Caenorhabditis elegans: one gene and its partners. The protein of the gene in region 3 interacts with the protein of the main gene of each other region in a pairwise test. Each region holds a gene or a part of one and is shown on either strand. Other genes may lie near its edges.

The links.
Region 1: the proteins of vit-6 (region 3) and stl-1 interact in a two-hybrid assay, tested with the Caenorhabditis elegans proteins (one large-scale study listed by BioGRID).
Region 2: the proteins of vit-6 (region 3) and mcm-6 interact in a two-hybrid assay, tested with the Caenorhabditis elegans proteins (one large-scale study listed by BioGRID).

The regions. Positions count from the first base shown.
Region 1 is NC_003279.8:9,486,111-9,489,865, reverse strand, and holds stl-1 (Stomatin-like protein stl-1), read left to right. Parts: upstream 1-1,836; 5' UTR 1,837-1,839; coding exon 1,840-1,886; intron 1,887-1,935; coding exon 1,936-2,071; intron 2,072-2,113; coding exon 2,114-2,272; coding exon of another isoform or gene 2,273-2,276; intron 2,277-2,336; coding exon 2,337-2,644; intron 2,645-2,725; coding exon 2,726-3,050; 3' UTR 3,051-3,221; downstream 3,222-3,755. Other genes in the region: sacm-1L (Phosphatidylinositol-3-phosphatase SAC1), read right to left, coding at 1-391, 631-1,165, 1,213-1,369; gly-21 (GLYcosylation related), read right to left, coding at 3,326-3,501, 3,546-3,676. UniProt on the Caenorhabditis elegans protein: Mitochondrial protein that probably regulates the biogenesis and the activity of mitochondria.
Region 2 is NC_003281.10:9,792,357-9,796,111, reverse strand, and holds the start of mcm-6 (DNA replication licensing factor mcm-6), read right to left. Parts: upstream 1,746-3,755; 5' UTR 1,745-1,745; coding exon 1,509-1,744; intron 1,460-1,508; coding exon 1,171-1,459; intron 1,124-1,170; coding exon 838-1,123; exon of another isoform or gene 817-837; coding exon of another isoform or gene 601-816; intron 559-600; coding exon of another isoform or gene 280-558; intron 223-279; coding exon of another isoform or gene 115-222; intron 70-114; coding exon of another isoform or gene 1-69. Other genes in the region: srxa-10 (Serpentine receptor class XA 10), read left to right, coding at 1-69, 115-222, 280-558, 601-816; R10E11.9 (uncharacterized protein), read left to right, coding at 2,554-2,611, 2,844-2,916, 2,968-3,057, 3,256-3,526.
Region 3 is NC_003282.8:8,259,081-8,262,835, reverse strand, and holds the start of vit-6 (Vitellogenin-6), read right to left. Parts: upstream 1,664-3,755; coding exon 1,569-1,663; intron 1,478-1,568; coding exon 1,018-1,477; intron 961-1,017; coding exon 1-960. Other genes in the region: K07H8.7 (Lipoprotein), read left to right, coding at 2,857-3,008, 3,092-3,214, 3,283-3,408, 3,459-3,588. UniProt on the Caenorhabditis elegans protein: Precursor of the egg-yolk proteins that are sources of nutrients during embryonic development. May play a role in cholesterol uptake. May be involved in thermotolerance.

The DNA of each region.
Region 1 (3,755 bases), on a different chromosome or scaffold from region 3:
ACATTCTTTGTGAAAATCAAATTGATGGTAACGAACAAATTCGATATTTGCTTGTCGTGATATTCTCTCCAGTTCTCCTCCAACTTTTTTCTCTCTTCCTTTTTGATTTACAAGATTTACAATCACATGTTTACCACCATAGTGTTGCTTGTGCCACGAAAAAGCTCGATTGAAAGCAGCAAGCTGGTCATCTGTTGGTTTCAGTGTAGGCATCGGTTGCCAACGTAGATTTGGTTTTTGAGTCCAGAGAAGAGGAATAGAACCTCTCAATTGCACAAACGAAGTCAGGTGCTTGTCAGGATTCGTGTATTCAACGATTTGTTCTGTTTCAACAAAGTTTGCTGCATGACCATCTACGTCGACTCCACGTTTATAGAAACGGACGCCAGCACTGAAAAATTGAATTATACTAATAGTTTTTTTTTCAGAGAAAACTATGAAAAAACATGAAATTCGTACTAAAAAGGTTAATAATTATTTAAAACTAATATATCTTGGATTCAGACAAAACATTTTTGTGAAAAGCGAGCTCGTTGTTAGAAGTATTAATTTTTTGTCCAGAAAATCGAAATAAACGTTTTTTTAATTATTACAAATTTATTTAAAACATTTTTAAGTAAAAAAAATTACCGATAAATGCTTCTTCTGGATATGATAGTCAATTTAATCTCTTTTCCATTCACATTCACACGATTCTGGCCAATAAAACCATGAATAACGGGCAATGTGTATCTTTCTGCACCAGGGACCTGCCGGATCTGTGACAGTAGATGTCCATTCCATATGAAACGTTCGCTGGCTCTGTCCAACATACTTCTTGTTTTGAACAAAGGAACAGCGTTCTCCTGAAGCCATTGAAATGTGCGTGAGATGTCAAGAGTCGTCGAGTAGTAGAATCCGCCAATAGACAGCACATGAGTGAGCATATCAGTGAATAATCTATTATATCTAATTTGTTTCTCAGTCAAGTGAAGTGTTGTTTTCTTGTAAGGAATAATCTCGGCATCTTGAATAGTCCAGATGTTGTGATTATTAACTTGTCCGATCAAAGAAGCCTTTGTTATTACGATCAAAGCATATCCTGAGACTAGTTTAATTGTTCCCAAAATCCCATAAATAAACTTGATGTCCGTATCAGCAATTGGAACTCGCTGCTTGCGTGAATCTGTAATTATAAATTTATATTTAGATCAGACCAAAAGTCAGACTTACCAATAATTTTCATCACATTTGTGTGTCTATCGATTTCGAGATAATGTTTCGACGCAGCACCACCGCCGAGATCGGTTGGTTCTAAGAAGAATTTTTCTGGGTGTGAGTACAAGTTGAAACTCTCGTAGATGTCCATACTCAATAGACTATCCACCATTTTGGAGAGCTGAAAAGGGAATGAAGTTTGTTGTGGAAAAAAAATATGAAAAAGAAGAACGACGCATGAAAACAAAAAAATCAATAAGAGATACAACAATAGTGATAGAATACATGAAACATGTTTTCTTTGAATGCGAAAACGTGGAAACGGGTGACGACACTCCGTCTTTCATATGGGAGCGTTGTTTACCGTAAATCTACACAGACATTATTTTAAATTAATTGTATTTTTATTCTTTATATTTTTATACTTTGTGAACGTTTCGTTTCTTAAAAATTGAAGAATAGTGGTGTTTATATTAAAATCTCTCAGTCCTGATGTAAATGTGCATATTTTTAATCTATCTCTCCCACTCGGCCACCACCATGACGAAATACTTTTCTGCCATCCTCCTCCCACTAATACATTATTTAAACTGCTGAATCTTTCGAAATTGCATTGCATCATTAAAAATGATTTTACAGAAAATGGCGCTAACTAATCGACTTTTAATGAATTCGTCAGCTCTTCTAAGGTAGGCCGATAAATTAAATTATTGTGAGGGGGGCAATTATATTATTTAGAAGTTCAACGCTCCCATTAGCTGTGACATCATCACGACAGGCCCATGCTGCACATAATACTGTCATCAATTTTGTTCCACAGCAAGAAGCGTGGGTTGTAGAAAGAATGGGAAAGTTCTACAAGATTCTTGAACCGGTAACATTTCCTAAAAGGTAATTAATAAACCAACTTTTTCAGGGACTCAACTTCTTATTGCCTATCATTGATAAAATCAAATTCGTTCAAAATCTTCGTGAAATTGCAATTGAGATTCCTGAGCAAGGAGCCATTACAATTGACAATGTACAACTCAGGCTCGACGGAGTTCTTTATTTGCGTGTTTTCGATCCCTACAAGGCATGTGACGCCTGTTTTTTGATTCGCCTGTAATTGAAAAATAACACTTCTTTGTAAATTGCAGGCATCGTACGGAGTCGATGACCCAGAATTCGCAGTAACTCAATTAGCGCAGACAACGATGAGAAGTGAAGTTGGAAAAATCAATTTGGATACAGTATTCAAGGAGAGGGAATTGCTCAATGAAAATATTGTATTTGCAATCAACAAAGCATCAGCACCTTGGGGAATTCAATGTATGCGATACGAAATCAGAGATATGCAGATGCCATCAAAAATTCAAGAAGCTATGCAAATGCAAGTTGAAGCTGAGAGAAAGAAAAGAGCCGCGATTTTGGAATCAGAAGGAATCAGAGAAGCTGCCATTAATAGGTATAATATTTTTCCAATTACACATTTCATTCAGTAACATCGTGAGAGTTGTAAAAATATTCTAAATTTAAACATTTCCAGGGCCGAAGGAGACAAGAAATCAGCTATTTTGGCGTCTGAGGCTGTTCAAGCCGAACGTATCAATGTAGCAAAGGGAGAAGCAGAAGCAGTAATCCTTAAAGCCGAATCTCGTGCCAAAGCTATTGAACGTATTGCATTGGCTCTTGAGAAAGATGGAGGTGCAAATGCTGCTGGATTGACCGTTGCAGAGCAATATGTTGGAGCTTTTGGAAATCTTGCCAAGGAATCAAATACTGTTGTTCTTCCGGCAAATCTCAGTGATCCAGGAAGTATGGTTTCTCAAGCACTTGCTGTTTACGACTCATTGAGCAATAAGAAAAAGTGAAAATGTTTTGTTTGAGTTTATGTGCAAGCGTAGTTTCCGTTTCTCCATTTTCATATTTCCCTGTTTCTAAATTTTGGTTTACTGGTATTTGAATGTAATTTTACATCATCTTTTCAAAAATCTCTTGATTGTTCGTTATTCTAAATTTTCAGCAGATGAATTAGTTGAATTTTCATTTGAATTCAATTTAAAATGCAGATAACATGATTTTCAGAGGAAAACTGTTTAGTGAAAAATTTGAAAATAATAAACAAAATTTTCTTTAAAAAACTTGATCAACATTGAAAACTATTCTTGTAATAAGTTCCATTAGCTTTCAACAACATCTCACGAAACTGTGGAAAGTAGGAAAGCCATTGAGAATCTGGATTATTTCCTGTTTTATTGGTTTTTATCATTTCACGAACGCAAATTATCGTTCCAAAATCGAAGTTGGCGGTCACTTTGTTTGCTGAAAAATCAATTTATTTATAAACATGAATGTTCAAAAATCACCAATAACCATCGGACTTTTTGAAAGTTCTTGTAGAAATTCGACTCCAATTACACATATTGAATGCCTTAACCACTTGGATTTACAATCTTGATATAGTCCGTCGGATTGTTCAAGATGCCAATGAGTTTGACTGTAATTTTCAGTTTTCTATTTGCAATGTAAGCCTGCCTTCAAGGTGACCTACACGAGCCTGATTCTGCACTTGGTAC
Region 2 (3,755 bases), on a different chromosome or scaffold from region 3:
GTTGTGAGTATGCAGGCATCTCAGCTTTTCACTTCTAGCAAAATATGGCTCTATACTTCATTTCATATGGTATCTTGAAATGCTAAGATTTCAAATGATACATTTATTCTTCAGACTGCCAATTTCGCATGTCTTATTATTCCCTATCTGAGTGAGTGTCGGATAAATTATGATATACGAAAAGTTGGATTCATATCTGAATGTGCACCAGACAGGCATCAGGTAAAGTAGATCTACGGATGATATCTGTGTTACAAAAATTAATAATTTAATTTGTAGATCACAACGTTCTCCAATTATTACTCTGTATTCTTTCCGTTCGTAGCATTCTTTTTCAATGTGCTAGTTATTATAAACTTCAAACTTCAAAGATCACCAACATATACAAAGATCAAAAATATGTTCCGACGTGGGAATGGAGATCAGTTTACATCAATGCCTTCGGATGTTTTAAAAGCGAAAAAGAAGACTGAACGAATGCTTATGATTCAAGCTTTTATCACTGCTTTCTATCTTTCTGTATATGAGCTAACAAGTCTTGTTCTACGAGTTGTTCCGGTATAAATTCAACGAAATAGCGTTTACTATGCAAGTTTTCAGGAACTCTTTGGAAATCTTTCGCTTGACGGAAAGCTCGCATTCACTTATTTTCGACTAGCTCAGGTGCCATGCCATGTATTTCTAGTATACTTCATTTTTACCCCTGTTACCAGAAAAATCTATATGGATTTTGTTCGAGAAAGAGTTTTCTGTATGAAACCAGCGAAAAAGAAGACAATCAAGGTATCTGCGACAACTACTTCCACTAAGAAATGAGTTTCGAATAAAATTGTTTACCTCTGTTCTGATTTGAAGTCTCAGCACGAAGTCCAGGAGTGCTCAATTGAGCAATATCTGGAATGACGATAAGAGTTCCAACAATGTCACATTTATCTCCTGGTTGGACAGTTTCAACCATTTCTCCTCGAACAATCACATCGACAGTACGTGGAATTGATCCACGAGGCAACTCTGCTTGAGTCTCCTGAATTCTAATCTTCTGGAAGTCGACGAAAGTAGATGAGTTGACATCGAGACTGAATCTGGTACGATTCATGCATTGAGGATTAGCACATTTAGTTGGCTGAAAACATTTGAATTCGTTATAAGCTAATTATTATCTCCGCATACCTGAGTGTATCTGAACTGCTGTTGAACATCACGTGTGGTAACACCGCAATCCTCACACACGAAACAAGCCCGTGAAAGTTCTGGATGCACTGGGTGAGTTCGGACAATCTGACCGGCAATGCGCACGAGGCCTCCGACTTTGTCCGCAGAAAGCTCACGAACTTTCGTTTTCGCATCGAGATTGAACAGCGAAACGTACAATTGCTTCTTGAACATTTGCTGTCTCTCACTTTCATCACAAGCATCTAAAGTGGCCAAGTGTAGAGCTTCGCACATGAATGGATAGACCCTGAAGTATATTTATAAGTATTCGAAAATACTAATCGAATTTAATTTACCTGTAGTATTGCAGCTCGATAGTTGTTGCGAGATTGTTACTGAACTTGTAGAGATGTTGCATGTTAATGAAAATGGTATTCTTTTCTGGTTGCACGAGCTCCTTCATCGCAGATTTGTAGATAAACTCATTTTTCTGGTCTTTGAAGCTCTTCAAAAACTTGGAAAACTCGTTCTGCACACGAGTTCCGTCGGTGTCCTCCACTTGCTGGGCTTGACCGCCGATAATGTTGTCCATGCTGAAAGAATTGATTTAAAAAGAATTAAGGCAACTTTCTTAATCGAAAAAGTAAGAAAGAGAACTAGAAATTCAGGAAGTCGGTGCAATCTGAAGAGGAAAACAATGAGAATGCGGGAAAACGACGAGAAATAAGACACCTAAAATTCAAAACTCAATTTTGGCGGCAACCTGCGTACCGAAACACTGGAGTGTTGTAGACGAAACAGTGTGCGCGGTAAAGAGACGCAGACAAATTAGGCGCGAAAACTGTGCGGCTGTGAATTTGAATTTCGACAGAAATTCATTGTCATTCAGAAACTTGCTTTTTCAGATGTAAAAGATATATTTTATGAATAAAATAAAAAACTTATTGGGAAAAATCAAAAACAGAAAAAGGCGCTTTAAAAAATAACAATTCTTGCCATGTCGTCGCAAGACCATTTCCCAAAAACGTGCCTCCCTTGAAACTCACACGGTACGGTACTTTGATAAAAATCGGGCCTACGATTTCTAATTTAATAGCCTGTAATGTAGACTTCAAGAATCAGTAGTTATTGAGAGTCACGAAAAATTTGAAACATGCAAAATTCTCATTCAAACTTGAATTAATTTCAAGGGGAGATAGGTTACCTTGAGACCATTCGGGTTACTGTACTTCTTAGAATTTCAGAAATTCGGGCGATGTTTAGAATGAATAAATATGAGTCAGACGTGCGCAACAGGCCGAGGAAACTTATGCGAGAATATGTGTATGTTTGCTTTCTGGACACTACAACTTCCAAGCTTTGTCGACAGAAAAGTTGTGTTATACTGCTTTATCGATAAGTATGCACTTTCTCTTTAAATTATTCGTTTTGATTTTAAATCTAACTCTGATCTCAAATGGTGAGTTTCGACAATTTTAAAAGTTCAAAGTTCAAAAGGCGCTATAGTATGATGAAATTCACCTATAAACATTTTTTAGAGATTTCCATTTAATTTTGAAAGGCGCACGCTGGATTTCTGAGTGGGTCTCGACACGATCTCGGTGCTACAAGCCATATTTCTCACCTAGCTTCAAGTTTATTGGAAAATATGATGAATTTTATTAAAATACCTTGTCAAAGAATTGTTTCAGTTAAATCTCAATCATACAATGACGTCATTTGCCGCCGACCGTGGTATTTTAACTCACCACGACCTGCTCCAATGTAAGTTGGAGAATATTATAATTGGCAAATAATTCCGTTTTTCTCGTTTAGGAGGTGTCCAACTGCTTCTTTCTTCACATATTATGAATGTTGTGGAGAGTTCTTGGAAAACTGTTGTTGGAGATTTAGACAAGAACCCATGTAAGCTTTTTGTAAAGTAGCTCTAACTAGATCCACATCTAAGTCATATAAATCCACAGAAGAAATTTAAGTTTTCATTTGAGCATCTGTAGTAGAATGAGACATCTCTCAGAACATCCCTATAAGGGGATGAAATTTTGGATTTCTTAATTTGGAACATCTTAAACAGGAACATCTTGAAAACTAAACTTTTTTCAGAATAATCGGAGTAATTCTTCTTGTTCTTCTCTTACTTGTATGTTGCTGTTGTTGTGTTTCTTGGATATTCGTTGGAAGAAAAAAGAAATCTTCAAATATTGAACCAGAAAAGAAGCCAACAAAGAAAGACTCACAAATTCAAACAATTAGCAGTTCAACAATAGATTCTGGAACTCAATGGGAACTCCGAAGAAGCTACGAGGAAACTGATAAAAGAAGGTCTTATGCAGCTGCTAGAGATCAAGAACTGGATTATCAATATTTTCAATAATTATATATTCTGCTCAATTGGATTTTTTTTTGAAAAATTAAAACGTTCCGATTTTCATTTTCCTTGAAAGTGCCATATTTCCTCAAGGATTTTACAAATTTCAAATTCCATTTGTAGACTTAAACGCAAGTGATGCAAAAATAGATGTATGTAGAATAATTTTCTCTGCGGTAAACTAAATATTTCAAAATCAAAGAGCGACTTGGTAGGTAAACTAAATATTTTAGTT
Region 3 (3,755 bases):
CTTCTGGACGAAGACTCTTGGGGTTTGTCCGCACACTCCATTGACAATAGCTCCGTAGGTGAGCCAGCAGGATTGACGAAGAGCTGGGAAGCTTGAAGATACATCGGATTCGCAAAGGCGAGCGATATCTTCAGCAATAGCAAGAGATGGGTAGCGCATGTCGACGAGTGTCTTGATGGCAACGGAGGCTTTGAGTGGAGCAATGTTCTTGCGAGATTGAACCTTGTCAACGAATTGTTGAATGGTGACACGAGTTCCGGCGAGAGCAAGGGTGTTGAAGTAGATGGAGCGAAGTTGCTCAGCAATCTTCTCATCCTTGTGCTCAGCGACGTGGCGGTAGATTTGTTCGAGTTGCTCCTCGTTGCACTCACGGAGAACCTTGACGATTCTGGCAACAGTGTGTGCAGCCTCAAGCTCAGCCTCTCCTTGTTCGATTTGCTTGGCCATCAAAGAGAACATCTTTTTGATCATCTCGACCTTGTTCTCGGTCCATTGTGGGAGTTGTCTAAGGTACTTCTCCTCTCCAGTTTGAGCCCATTGTTGCTCAGCCCATTCGGATTCCTGGTTGTAGACAAGCTCGGAAGTCTTCTCATTGCGGACTTGCTTGATCTCGGTCTTCTTCTCTCCAGCATAGATAAGCTCCATGGTGTTCAAGGTGAAGGCAGAAACAAGTTGATGCTTCTCGGAGATTGGGGCAAAAAGGTGTTGGGAGCGAAGTTCAACGGAGTTGATGAGGAAGCTTGATGAAGTTCCAGTGATGTTGTAGTTGAGAACTGTGGAGCTCATCTTGTCTTGCTCAAGAGTTTGCTGGCAATCCTTGCACACTGGAGTCTGCACGTGATGGATGTATGGGCGGCGGGTACATTTGTCGAAGTTGATCGACTTAGCCCAACGTTGCTCATCCTCCTTCTTGATCTCTTCAACGGTGTAAAGGACCTCGCATTCTCCTTCGAGGGTGCGCTGAAATTCAATTATTCAAATTTCGAACTCAAATATATATGTATATTTAGAACTTACCTCAACATTGGTGAAAGAGAAAGTTGGTTCTTGGTTGTCACTCTTCTCAGCTCCTTCGTACTTCTCCTTCTTGAGGATGTTGACTTGAAGCATGTTGATGACGGCTCTCTTGATGTTCTCTGACCATGGCTGATCGTTCTCAGCAAAACGGATCTCTCTGACAAGTCCGTGTTCGTAATCAAACTCAACTGGCATGCTCAAAAGCTCTTGGTGCTCACGGTTCATGCGCTCAACCTCCTCGAAACGCTCGAATGGGAGCATCTTCATGGAGTTGGACTCTTGCTGAGAGGTTGCGAAGCGGGTCTTCTGGAGTTGCATGCGGACGGTGTTTCCATCAGTCCATTGGAGGGTAACTTGAGATTGAAGACGTGAGATTCCTTGTGGGGTAGATGGGACTGGAAGTCCGGCAGAGAGCTGGCCATTGAAGAGGTAGCGGTACTCGCGTCCGGCGCGGAATGAGCTGAAAAGGAGTACAATGTGATTGATATTTTTGAAAATAATTGAAATATAAAAAGGGTCAACTCTCAAAAATGATTTAAAAAGTAACTTACGATTCTTGAATATTTCTCTCGATGGAGTTGTAACGATCCAAATGGGTCGAGGCGAGTGCCGCTCCCAAGAGAGCAAGCGCTATGAAGAACTTCATAGTGATTGATCGATCTAAGTGACCGAGTGAAGAATACATGAAGCTCGTGTCCTTTTATACATACTCTTAAACTTCGACAAGATGTCCATCGCAGCATGTTGCAATTCTGAAAGTAGCTTAGAGACCATGCGGATTGAAGAGACTCAGCATGCTTATCAGTCATTGAGACAGGTGTCAATTGTTGAGTGCGGGAGAGTGTCAGTAATGTTAGGTACCATTTTGGGATTGGCGGGTGGCTCCGATGAGGGGAGGTGGATGGGGAGATGGTTTCTGGTCAAAGTATGACAATTTTCTTTGACAGTTTAGTTACATTTTCTACTTTGAAATTGCAACACTTTCAACATTTTGCATCTGACTTTTGGTTAAATTGGGGGAATAAAATGATGCCATTATAGTCATGAAATGGCAAAAATAACAATGACCTTAGCTTTGCGAAGATGTGAAATATTGCTTCAAAGGCACCTGATGTTTTCTATGTGGGTCACGCCTTAGTCATGTGGCCAAACCAAACTGTTCATGAAATGTGGAAGTATAAAAAATTTCACAAACTATAAAAAATAGCAAGATTCACAATAAATTATTCTGCTTCTAGTTTTTTGTTGCGAAATGATAATATTTTTCAGAATACAAATAATTTAGATATTTCAAAGTTCTAAAAATCCTACAAACTTGAAACAATTAATGAACAAGGCAAGAATTTCGGTTTAGTGGCAAAGGTGCATTTTGAACAAGAAAAAAGTCTATCTGAATACTTTGCTGTGCATTTTCCACTACTTTAGAGGCCCGTAAATTTTTTATTTTTGAAAAAATTTAATTTTGACTTCAAAATGTTTTAGTAAAAAATTATTTTTTAAAGAAATGTTGTCAATGGATGTTTGTACATTATGCACCACAAATCGGTGTTTTTTTAAACTTTCTAGTTCTGCTGCTAACAAGGTTTTGTAATGATATTTAAGATATCCCCTTTTGAATTAAGTTTTCATTAAAAAGTCTGATTGTGAGCTGAAATACTAATACCTAAATATTTCCGTACAATTATGATATTATACAAATCTCAGTTATGACGTGAAATCATATTTAATATCCAATATTTGTAATTTGTGGATATTCCTTATCTTTAATTAATCTCTGGCAGATTGTTCAAAAATTACTAACTCATTTTCAAATTTCAAAATTTGGTGAGATTTCCAACTATGCTCTCAAATTGGAATAATTTCTATATTCATCTGATACTTCTCAAATCACAAATCTTTTCAATGGCACTCATTATATCACTGATTTCTGGAGTTTTGATATTATGCAGTCAAAAAGGTGGAGGATCAAAAACGAAGAATGCAGATTCTCGGTTTGTTTATTATTTAGTGCAATCCTTTCTGTGGAATAATTAATTTCACCCATTCTGTGCCACAAAATACAATTTGTTTCCAGTACAAAAAAATCAGCGTCGACTTCTATTGTGTCTCCAATTGAAACAACTGCAATACCAAAAGATAGTGTGATGGTAAAACCAGAGCCACCGAAAGAAGAAACAAAGAGTAAGAAAAGTGTTATGTAAGTTTTTGTTTCCCTCAAATGAAAATTGAAAAGCTAACAAATTTACTTGAAACTCTATTTTTCAGCCAGAACTCTATAAAAATGCTTCGTGGAAAGAAAAACCTTCAAAAAGCAACCACATTGCAAAAGAAAACTGAAACGGATTCACAGCATACTCAAGTTATTAACATGGAATTAGGAAAAGCTGCAGGGTTGGTTTTTTTAATTGAAATTTTAACCAATTATTTGTAAATTATTTCAGATCCGAGAAAGGAATATCCAAATTAACAGTCCCAGAAGAGCGGAAAATTGTTGAGAAGCCCAATGGAAAGAAGGTGCAGTTTGCGGATAAGCTGATCAAATCAACGTTGACTCCGACTGAAAAGAAATAGATCGATTTAATGGAAACTTGATTATAGTTGGAAATGAAGTATGATTCAATTTAGATCGATTTTTATTCTATTTGGAAAAGGACAATCCCGTTACTAAATGCATACACGACAGGATCCATGGCGCGTTAAAAGGGATGTGAAGGTCGTTCCAGCTCGGCTGAATGGAA